Tribolium castaneum: one gene and its partners. The main gene of each other region encodes a partner of the protein of the gene in region 2 in a complex. Links are inferred from orthologs where the notes say so. Each region holds a gene or a part of one and is shown on either strand. Other genes may lie near its edges. The genes, in order: E3 ubiquitin-protein ligase AMFR, Ubc7 and lipid droplet-regulating VLDL assembly factor AUP1.

Evidence for each region.
Region 1: the proteins of Ubc7 (region 2) and E3 ubiquitin-protein ligase AMFR are in contact, whole or in part, in an NMR structure (PDB 2LXP), measured with the Homo sapiens proteins. The link is inferred for Tribolium castaneum from reciprocal best matches to the Homo sapiens genes UBE2G2 and AMFR. Residues at the interface, in NP_003334.2 of Homo sapiens: Tyr13, Leu16, Thr17, Pro20, Gly23, Ile24, Val25, Ala26, Gly27, Pro28, Met29, Asn30, Glu31, Glu38, Leu40, Met42, Glu45, Glu50, Phe51, Val53, Val159, Gln160, Leu163, Gly164, Leu165; in NP_001135.3 of Homo sapiens: Ser574, Ala575, Arg578, Gln579, Met581, Leu582, Arg585, Lys586, Leu589, Leu590, Ala593, Arg594, Arg596, Phe597, Leu598, Lys600.
Region 3: the proteins of Ubc7 (region 2) and lipid droplet-regulating VLDL assembly factor AUP1 are in contact, whole or in part, in a crystal structure (PDB 7LEW), measured with the Homo sapiens proteins. The link is inferred for Tribolium castaneum from reciprocal best matches to the Homo sapiens genes UBE2G2 and AUP1. Residues at the interface, in NP_003334.2 of Homo sapiens: Tyr13, Thr17, Pro20, Gly23, Ile24, Val25, Ala26, Gly27, Pro28, Met29, Asn30, Glu31, Glu38, Leu40, Met42, Glu45, Glu50, Phe51, Val53, Pro55, Lys156, Val159, Gln160, Ser162, Leu163, Leu165; in NP_853553.1 of Homo sapiens: Ser379, Arg382, Gln383, Leu386, Arg389, Lys390, Leu393, Tyr394, Tyr396, Ala397, Arg398, Arg400, Phe401, Thr402.

The regions. Positions count from the first base shown.
Region 1 is NC_087396.1:17,611,254-17,614,933, forward strand, and holds the start of E3 ubiquitin-protein ligase AMFR, read left to right. Parts: upstream 1-808; 5' UTR 809-1,072; coding exon 1,073-1,321; intron 1,322-2,706; exon of another isoform or gene 2,707-2,741; coding exon of another isoform or gene 2,742-2,801; intron 2,802-3,680. UniProt on the Homo sapiens protein: E3 ubiquitin-protein ligase that mediates the polyubiquitination of lysine and cysteine residues on target proteins, such as CD3D, CYP3A4, CFTR, INSIG1, SOAT2/ACAT2 and APOB for proteasomal degradation.
Region 2 is NC_087394.1:30,806,860-30,809,634, reverse strand, and holds Ubc7 (ubiquitin-conjugating enzyme E2 G2), read left to right. Parts: upstream 1-1,195; 5' UTR 1,196-1,315; coding exon 1,316-1,358; intron 1,359-1,409; coding exon 1,410-1,491; intron 1,492-1,535; coding exon 1,536-1,654; intron 1,655-1,703; coding exon 1,704-1,844; intron 1,845-1,890; coding exon 1,891-2,009; 3' UTR 2,010-2,236; downstream 2,237-2,775. Other genes in the region: uncharacterized protein LOC662537, read right to left, coding at 2,504-2,771. UniProt on the Homo sapiens protein: Accepts ubiquitin from the E1 complex and catalyzes its covalent attachment to other proteins. In vitro catalyzes 'Lys-48'-linked polyubiquitination. Involved in endoplasmic reticulum-associated degradation (ERAD).
Region 3 is NC_087394.1:36,253,433-36,257,078, reverse strand, and holds lipid droplet-regulating VLDL assembly factor AUP1, read left to right. Parts: upstream 1-1,138; 5' UTR 1,139-1,250; coding exon 1,251-1,294; intron 1,295-1,344; coding exon 1,345-1,633; intron 1,634-1,679; coding exon 1,680-2,096; intron 2,097-2,156; coding exon 2,157-2,337; intron 2,338-2,613; coding exon 2,614-2,915; 3' UTR 2,916-3,095; downstream 3,096-3,646. Other genes in the region: mucolipin-3, read right to left, coding at 1-123; uncharacterized protein LOC103312234, read right to left, coding at 750-784. UniProt on the Homo sapiens protein: Plays a role in the translocation of terminally misfolded proteins from the endoplasmic reticulum lumen to the cytoplasm and their degradation by the proteasome. Plays a role in lipid droplet formation. Induces lipid droplet clustering.

The DNA of each region.
Region 1 (3,680 bases), on a different chromosome or scaffold from region 2:
ACAACCACTTCGGCCAAGTTTTTAAAAGTCCCTATTTCCCATCGTTTTTTCCTAATCAAAATTTTCCAAAATAATTATGTTACTCATTAGTAAGTGAAATCCCAAAATATTTTCGCTCAATTAAATTATTTATAATTCAAATCTCTATTGTTTTGCTACTTTGGTACTCTACAGGGTGTCGGCGAATTTCGAGTTCAGAGTGTTGTAAAGAAGCACTTTACTAATCCAAATATAGAAAAAAATTAAAATTGAGGGATTCCGCACAAAGTTACATTGGTTTGAATTAATCTTAGAATTACGTTTTCTTCAAATGCAGGCAAAAAATGTTAGTGTTTATTGTTTATTTGTTTATTCATGGTGTAGTGTATAGATAATTGTAGAGAATAATAATATAAAACATTTTTTTAATTAGCTTTATTGCCGTTCCATTTTTAAGAAAAACTACTAAAAAAATAATGACCAAAATAAAGTTAACTTTTAAAGAAATTGTTTTCCATTATTGTCCACTATCATCTATATCATAAATAACAATAAACACTGAAATTTTTTGCCTGCAATAAAGTGCTCTTGAAGTGCACATTTCGAACCAATGGTAATGGTATGTAGGGGCAACCAATTATACAAGAAGCATGAATTGTGAGTAGCCGACATTTGATTAAAAAGTTGTTCAAACACCATCATTTAAGGATAAACAGGTGTTTGGAGTATTTTAATGATAAAAGTGGATAAGACATAAGAAAGGGACGAGGCTTATGCTCTGAAATATATAAATTCGTTTAAAATTCGCCCTTCCCCTTACAGGGCCCTGTTTTATCCGGATATTTGACAGGTGCATCAGTGGCGGCCCGACCAGCTGGCGCACCACATGATCAATACATGTATAAAATTAACCATCACGTACCAGTGTGTAATCAAAAGTAACGTGGCCCCAAGCGCACCACATCTCCAGTGACAAATCGTTCGCGGCCGCGACTCCACACTATGTCATCGTCGCGCCCCAATTCCGCTTTGACAAGCCGCACAAGAGTCGCGTTGTAATTTGTGACATATCGTGTTTGTAAACAGTGACAATATGCCAGTGATTTTACTCGACCGGTTGCCTGTGCCCAATCTGCGGATGTACTCCGCCGGCAGTGTCTTGGCCCTTTCGGCGTGCGTCTACTACGCCACGCAGGTGATCAAGGACCCCGACTGGGGGGCCGTCGCCGAAGACATCAAAGACTCCAACAGAAGTAACGCCTCGGTGCCGCTTGGCCGGTCCATGGGGCAGTTTGTCTCCGACGTGTTCAGTGTTATGATAAGGGAGCCCATCTGCGTGTGGGTGAGTGCCGGCTGATGCTCCCGGATTCTTCCGGATTACCGGAAATGTGGCGCAATCTTGGGATAACATTACCGCAAATTGCGTTCCGCGAAACGAAAAGAACTGACCGGCTAACGACACAACAAATGCACTTTTTTCTTCCGGTAATCCGGCTCTGGAATAGTCGTGTGGTCACTTTATTAAATTTTAGTCAAAATCGGATCAATTCCTCATTTTTAATTAATTCTTTACGCACCAAAGCGTTACTGAACAAGTCCCGTTATCCAACGGCTTCTTAAATTGTTAATGATTCGAATTACCGAAGCGTCATAAATCATTATTTTGAATAAAGTATTCCAAGTCTCCGATCTCATCATCGAGTCCGGGCTTGCTCATATTTTATTCGTGATTTTCTAAGATTTGTTCAATCATTCGTGAGAGATCCAGATTTTCGATTGAATTTTTCACAAATGTGCCTCGGCTGGAAAAGGTCATGTCGCAGCTTAAATTCCGCAATGCAATGCCAACAATTCACATTATTCAGTCAGACTTTAATAAAAATATCGGAAACGGCTGCTTCTCTTCCTACGCAAGTAATTTAAATGTTTTGTTCATTGACCTGTTTCAAAACAAAAGACTCGTAATTGTCTACAGACGTCAAAAACAAATGTTTGATTTAATTATTTTTTATTGTCTGCAAAAAGTGATTCTCGTAGGGGAGGGTGGAGCATAAAGGTGCCTGAAAATGGGTTTAGTATGCCACGAAACAATCGAGAAAGTCAGCCTTCTTGATTTCTATTTGCCTTAGAATATTTCATTGACGCCCGGTATATTTTTTGCCCATTTTATTGCTCAGTCGGTATTTCACACAATTCCACAATCGCTTGAAAGTTTTTCTAATAACAATCATTTGCAATTACTAAATTGAGGTTTTGACATGCAATGTGCCGTTTTATTCTTTTTGAAAGCAAGGCTTCAACTTTTCCGAAACTCGTTTCGTTGTAATAAAATCGATTTTGTCAACTTTCAAGGTGATTTGGGGTAGGTTGGGTTTATTTCTTTAGTTAGGAAGTATAGATAAAGGAGTGAAGTGTAATTAATTAATGTATGCACAAGGCCAAATAGTTACTAATTGGAAATTGTTCCCAATACGATTTTTTGAATATTGTTTTCCCGTTATTAGTGTCAGATGAAGCCATACACGTGCCGAAGTCGCTTCCAGGTCATAAACGTTGCATCAGATGAATGTGATAGCACCATAAATAAGAATAATATCTATTATTCTCACTTCAAATTCTGACAAATCTGTTTTAATCGAAGGAAATTTATTTTCAATGGTAGGAGTCTTCCTACGATTTTTCGAGAGACAATGACAAAATTTTATAAAGAGTTTCATTACTGATTGTTCATTGCTGTGGTGCGTTTGAGAAAATTGTGAAACATGGAAATAGACAAGTGGAGGGTTATAATTCCCCGAAAGTTCTTAAAAAAGGTCCTAAAGGTAATAAAAACAAAATTGTGAAACTGTGTTTACAAGAGAAAATTTTGTTAGTCCGACTTTAAGATTGTTTGGAATAAATAGTAAACAAATTTATCAACAGTTGTAGTACAAATGTAAACCATTACAAAGTGTAGAGTTACATCAACTTTCGGTCCACTGAATGATAAAACCAACTCGCGATTTAAATCTAATTAAAACCAGTCTGTAATCTTTTAGCAAATTTCTTGTTAATCGTCGCTTTCATCGAGCTCTTATCAGTTATTGTTTCGGGTAGCAACTCGAATCCTTGAATTTTTTAAACATTTGGGTGCCGTTTTATTTTTGGCAACTTTCCGTTCGGTTTTTAAAATTATTTTTAAGTTGAGATTAAACCGGACCTCTTGTCCTTCAAAGCATGCGAAGCGAGAATGTTGTTTTCGAATTAATTGACCACTCAGACGTTTAAAAAATTTAGTGGCACTATGTGCTCTGTCCAAGTCTGAATCATGGAACAAAGTACCGTAGGCGGTTAGATTCTCTTATCAATGACTCACAAATTATATGCTGATATCTATTGTTAACCAGGTATAATAAAATAACAGAAATTACGAGGTCTTCAATGCGCACTTTGTGAAAAAAACTGACGTGGCTTATTATTTGTGGATTGATTTTATGAGTTGTATTAAAACTTGATTTGTAATTATATAACTGGTAAAAATTGGAGGAAATGAAAGGTTCCAAGGTTGAAATATTTAAGTCATGTTTTAGTGCATTTTTTATCGAGGAAAAAATTTGCTCGATGTTATTCTTATATCGATCGTTTCTAAAGACACGTCATTGTTGTGTGCGAGTAATTACCAAGAGAATTGTTTAATTTATTCATATTTTAATTCTACATAA
Region 2 (2,775 bases):
CGATAACAGGAAGTGTCTCAAACTTATGTTCAAAATATTTATAATTTCGAAAGCCAATAAACAAAACAGGTTGAAAAAAAACTCTAATAAAAAATTTAGGCTTTTTTGTTGAAAGTCTTTATTTAATGCGATTTGTTTGGAACATATTTTACGAGTTAATTTTGGGGCACTTCCTGTTGTCGTAGCAACTTGAGATTTTACATGCACACGTAACTTTTGGAGCACAATTACGTCATGTACTTCGATTCCTGATTTAAAAATGTGCAGTGCTATCTCGGTTCCTGAGGGAGATACGGGAACGGGACCTATTCCATTCGATAGCCCAGGAAAAATACTACGGGGCGGTAGGGTTTTCAAAAGGACAGAACCACCCCTCTATCTCCAACAGAAACGAAGATATTTCGCATTTTGTAAATTGCAGATTTTCTTCAATTTTTATAAAAATTTTGATAATGAAATAAAATTTTAGTAAAATTCAGCAAAATTTTAAAAATGGATTTCGTATCAGGATCACAGGAACGCAAAAGGGTAATGAGAAATTATAAATAACTTAAAATACACGCAGATGTATAACTGGTTGCATGTAAACGCCGCTAAAAATTTCGTGGCCTCTTTGCGTTCCTATGATCCTGATACGAAATCCATTTTTAAAATTTTGCAGAATTTCACATAAATTTTCTAGCACTCACAAATTTTTTTATAAAAACTGAAGAAAATCTGAAATTCACAAAATGCGAAATATCTTCGTTCCTGTTAGAGATAGAGGGGCGGTGAAAACCCTACTGAGCCGTAGTATTTTTCCTGGGCTATCGAATGGGATAGGTCCCGTTCCCGTATCTCAATCAGGAACCGAGGTAGCACTGCACATTTTTTAATCGGGAATCGAAGTACATGACGTAATAGTGCTCCAAAAGTTATGTAAACATGTAAAATCTCAAGTTGCTAACATAACAGAAAGTGCCTCAAACTTAAACTTTAAAACGTCTTAAACTATTTTTTTTTAAATTGTAGGTAGTGACATTTGGGTGTCAAATCTTAAAGTACCTTTTATAGAGATCTATAAAACATTTAAAAATAATAAAATCTAAGGTAGTGACATCTAAGCAATGACTGCAAAACTACGCTCTTATAGTAACCTGTAAATTGTCAAAGTACCATCTACTGAGTCTGATCTATAGCTGTTCGATGGAGTTGGTGATTGCAGTGCACTTTTTTTTAAGAATTGACAAACGCTCACGTAAAATATTATAAAGAATAATTAAATTCATTCAATGCACATTTTTGGGTGCTCATATTGTTCAAATATTGATAAAAAATGGCAGGCTCAGCTCTAAGACGCCTTATGGCCGAGTACAAGCGTAAGATGCAAGCCTAACCTCAAACTATTTGCATTCGTTTTATGTTTCTAGAACTGACTCTGAACCCCCCAGAAGGTATCATTGCTGGTCCAATAAACGAAGAAAATTTCTTCGAGTGGGAAGCGTTGATAACGTAAGTTGTCTTTGTAGGGAAACTTTCATATGACGGGTTTTTAGTGGCCCTGAGGGGACATGTTTTGAGGGCGGTGTTTTCCCAGCTAAACTCATTTTCCCCCCGGACTATCCCTTAAGCCCTCCTAAAATGCAGTTCACCTGCGAAATGTTTCACCCTAATAGTAAGTATATTAGGGTTTTTGTAACAGGAGATGAATCAGCAGATTTTAGTTTATGCTGATGGGCGAGTATGTATTTCCATTTTGCACGCCCCTGGAGATGACCCTATGGGCTATGAGTCAAGTGCTGAGAGATGGTCTCCTGTACAGAGTGTTGAAAAAATTCTTCTCTCAGTTGTCAGCATGCTTGCAGGTACGTTTCTTCACAAAACAGTAACAAAATTCAACATGATTTTTAGAACCTAATGATGAGAGTGGAGCAAATGTTGATGCTGCGAAAATGTGGCGGGAAAATAGGGAGGAATTTAACAGAATAGCGGAGCGGATTGTAAGGCGAACGCTTGGGATTCCTACGTGAATTTTTACAAATTTTAACTGAGAGTTACGTCTGTTTGTTACAATTTTAATAATTTATGGGGATTAAAGTTTAGTTTTAAAGTTCAAGACTAAGGGCCTGGCTTGTTACCGCGCTAAAGTGAGAAAAAAATTTATTTCAATATATTATTTCTGAACAACAGTTAAACCATAAACTTAGTCTGTTAGGAACCTAAGCTATTGAAATAAATACAGCAGCATCCATTCACATCAGGAGTCTTAGTCTTGTCTAGCGCAAAACCCCGTTTTGTGACTAACATATTCACAACCTAATAAGAAATACGTTATTTTCTGGCTTAACTACTATCATGTGCGTTTGCTTCCTTATAAATAAGTTATTGGCTTAAAAACTACAGCTGACTTTCCAAGCATAACAATACTAAAATCACATTAAAACTTTGGTCTGAAAGTTAATTGCACAAATTTAACAAAACAACAAAATAAATAACTATAAATATGAAAAAGAAAGTGAAAACCTCAGGACTGCCGAGGATTTGTGTTATTCAAAACAATGTAATTGTTCAGAGGTATGTTGGAAACGATAGGTGCTTGGACTTCTTCTTCCTGATAATCGCGTCGTATCGCTGGAGTAGGGATTCTAGGAGGGACTTGTTCATTACTTGTATCTTCTACATCTATCAGATGCTCTGAATAATAATGCGGAGTGTTCAAGTAGTCGATCATTCTCCTCGGCAATGGAAGACTGGGGATCAGATCCCTGCGAACCACTTTGTGGATTGCAAATCTGC
Region 3 (3,646 bases), about 5.4 Mb from region 2:
TTTTTCCTCGGTTAGGAGCGACTTGGAGCTGTGACAGGAGGGCTGGTGGGTGAGACAACACCGTTCGTCGTCAGTGCCACAGGTTGTGACGCTTTCTGGGGAATTGCCTTGCATTGGCTCCATTTCCACGGCACTCAACAGGACATTCACTTTTAACTTGGTGATGGGGCCAAACCACAAACACTGACAAAGGAAAATAACCTAATTGTTGACACTGACATCTGACGTTTCGCAACTAGGGAGTTTCGTTTTTTCCTAGTTTTTTTCTATAAAAATTACGGGAAAATACACAAAAACGCAGACTAGTTGGACTTACGGGACAGTTTAATTTATTCAGCCTGACTGGAGATTATTTTGTATATTTTAGATAATAGAATCGCTGTCACATGACTGGTGTTTTTTTTGTACAGTGGCGTAGATAGAGTTGTCAGATTTTAAATATTCAAATGTATGAGCTTCTAAGAGCTGCTGCTAAAAATGTATAATATTTTCACATGGATAACAACCAGCTGTATTGTTGTTAGGAAACTCAGGACAATTTACAAAAGAAAGAAGTTTTTGATTTTTTGGAAGATGTGTGAAAAATATCTCAAGTCTTTGCCGATTGGAGGGTACAGTGATAAGAGGATCATGTGATAAGAGGCGTTTGTGGCGTCACGACTTTCTTCTTTCGAAGCGATTTTTCTTACGTTTTTAAGGCTCAAAATGTTTAAGCCCCTGTTAAATAAACTAAGACTATTTGGATTTACCTGACGAGAATTGTAAAATTCCTTAAAATGTTCATGTTGATGTCTTCAAACGAAAACCAAATCCACTAACACCAACAACTAATTACCAAAACAGGGATTAGAAACGATTATTAGCACTTTAAAAACGCCGGTAAACAACAATAATCCCAAAAATTCATCAACACAACGCGTTTTGAATACGTTTTTGGAGAACAAAACATGGCGTACTAACGCGGGATTTCTACCAACTGCTGCCAACCTACCAGAGCAGTACGCACTAGACTAGTGATTTTAATATGTTCTGGATTTTAAAAAAAGCTTAATTTTGTGTTGGAAATACCATTAACGATGTTTTAATAGTTGTTCAAACAAAAAATTGTTAAAATTATTAACCAAAAAACGAGCCGCTCATGTTTTTTTTTTTGAGACGTCACGTCAAATGTCACTGACGTCACAAACCTAACCCTCTGTTATGTTATTTAGTGTAAAACCTTAAGATAATTTTGTTTTTGTTATGTGAAAATGCCAAATAATATCGAAATCAATCAGCTTTTTTGTTTCAAAAGGTAATCCCCCTGGGTTAGGTTGTGGTAGCGTTGCAATAAATTCGTTTCAGGTTTCCCGAAAATGAGTTGAAGATTTTGTGTCTAGTGCTTTACTTACCTGTTGGAATAGTCCTGTTTATTTTACGGACAATCTTAGCTTTGAGTGTCGTTTTGATCGGATGTAGTTTATCAGACACTCGGATTATCCATAAACTTGTGAATAAAATTGCATGTTTAACGTTAGGTATAACAGTCACGGTAGAAAATCCCGACAAAAAAGAAAATGTAGAAGTGTATATTAGCAATAACTTATCGATTTTTGACCATTTGGCTGTCCATACGGCTACAGGATCGGTCTCAGTAAGTTTTATAAGGGCCCCAAAATTTTTTTCACGAAAACTTGCAGCCCGGCGCTCAAATGCACCCAGCCCTGGCTAGAGGCTTAGGAGTTCACTATTTCGGTACTCAAACGAATTTAGAAAGTTTTAAGAAAAACGTAGCCGACTTTTTATCCGAGCAACAAATCCCAGTACATTTCACACCGGAAGAAAAAATCACAAATGGCAAAGCACTCCTAAAATTTAAAAGCTACCCATTCTCCCTGACAAATAAAGTGCAACCTGTTTGTATCAGCATTGAACGCCCGTTTCTGGACCTGTCTGTTACAACTCTACGCTCATCTTATTGGACTGACGTTTTATTTTACATGTTTTCGCCTCTTACTAACTATAAATTGAAATTTTTGCCTCCTCTTGAGAAAAAGTCAGTGGCGGAGGCTGAATTTTCCGAAATCGTACGCCAGAATATCGCGTCGGCCCTTAAGGTGATTTATTATAGCGTCAAGTTTTAATGTTGAAGCTGAGAGCTTTAATAAAATGTTTAGGTGGAAACCCCCGAATTGACAGCTGCCGATCTCTTAGAGTGGGAAAAACGCCAACTTGTTGAACAACAGAGAGCGCCACCTGTGCCTAGGCCAAGCGTTGATAGTGAAGTCAGGAGAATGGCGACACAAGTTAAAGATGTGCTACCACATGTGCCATTAAACGCAATTTACAAGGACTTGAGTAAGTTTCAAGTTAATCTAAATTCAACCAGTTACTTGCAAAAAAGGCTGAAATATTGAGCTTTAATAGGCCGAGAAAAAATGATCCAATATTTACGAGAAACGTGACCAAAAAAGAGTTTAAATTTTTTTAAAACACTACAAATACAAGAAAAATTTTGGGAAAAAATTACTAAAGTTACTATTATAAAGCTACTATAAAGAGCTATTATCTGCCTGAATTTTTGGGTGGCATTAACGTCGTTTCGTGTGGTAACTGGGGTAATTATTGTTGCAGACAAAACACGAAATGTAGACACAACTATAACGAATATCCTCGAAGGCCGAGTTCACTTTGTGCCAGAACAAATTAGTTCTACCTCCAACAATCCACAACCTTCCACATCTGTAGCATCTGGTACGAAAGCATCGCCTTCGACTTCAACTACAAGTGATAGGGATTTGTTCAATACAGCTGCTTCGTCTTTTGCCCGATCTGCCCACGAGAGAAACAAGTCATTTCAGGAGAGAAAAGAACAACTTATTGCCAATGCAAGGAGGCGATATATTGAAAAACACGACTTAAAGATACCGTTTTAGGATGTTTGTTTGTTTTTGATAAGTTTTTTTTTTTTTAGTTAAGTTGTGGAGTTTGAGGCACATTTTCAGAATTTTGGTTTAAGTTTAAGTTTGGCGATTCTTTGCGGTTTTTACTACTTAAACTGTAAATATTGTTATTTATTTTTGGTTGCAATACAATAAACATTTCATTACACGCCATCATGTGTTTTTAATTTAACTGATTCTTCCCTATTACTAACTTATCAATAAATAAATAAATAAATAAATAAAATCTCAGTTGAAGAGTAAATTTCAATAAGCAATAAACTATTTTTTGAAGGAATTTTGCTAGAGTTTTACATAAAATAAAAATGGTGGAGGCGCTGGGATAACAAGTGTTTTATTTATTCATATTTGTTTTTTACTTTGCTGGACGTTTTTAAATAAAGACAGTGGTATTATTTTTTAGTTGAAATATGAAATTGTGTTCAAAATGCTGGAGGCGCCAATTTTCGTTCTTAAAAATCCGTAATAAATATAACTCATGAAAATTATTCTATCGGCAGATTTTTATAACTTTATCAATTAATTATTATGCATCAGTTTTTTCAAACAAAACCTTAATCATCATTTGTCAAAAAAATCCTGGGGACGTATGATACATTTTTTATTTTTGATTTTGCTGAACAATGTGCTATAACTTTGCATTAAAGTTAGGATAATGCTAACGTAATATTATAAAACACTATACTACTCCATTTCTTGTCAAT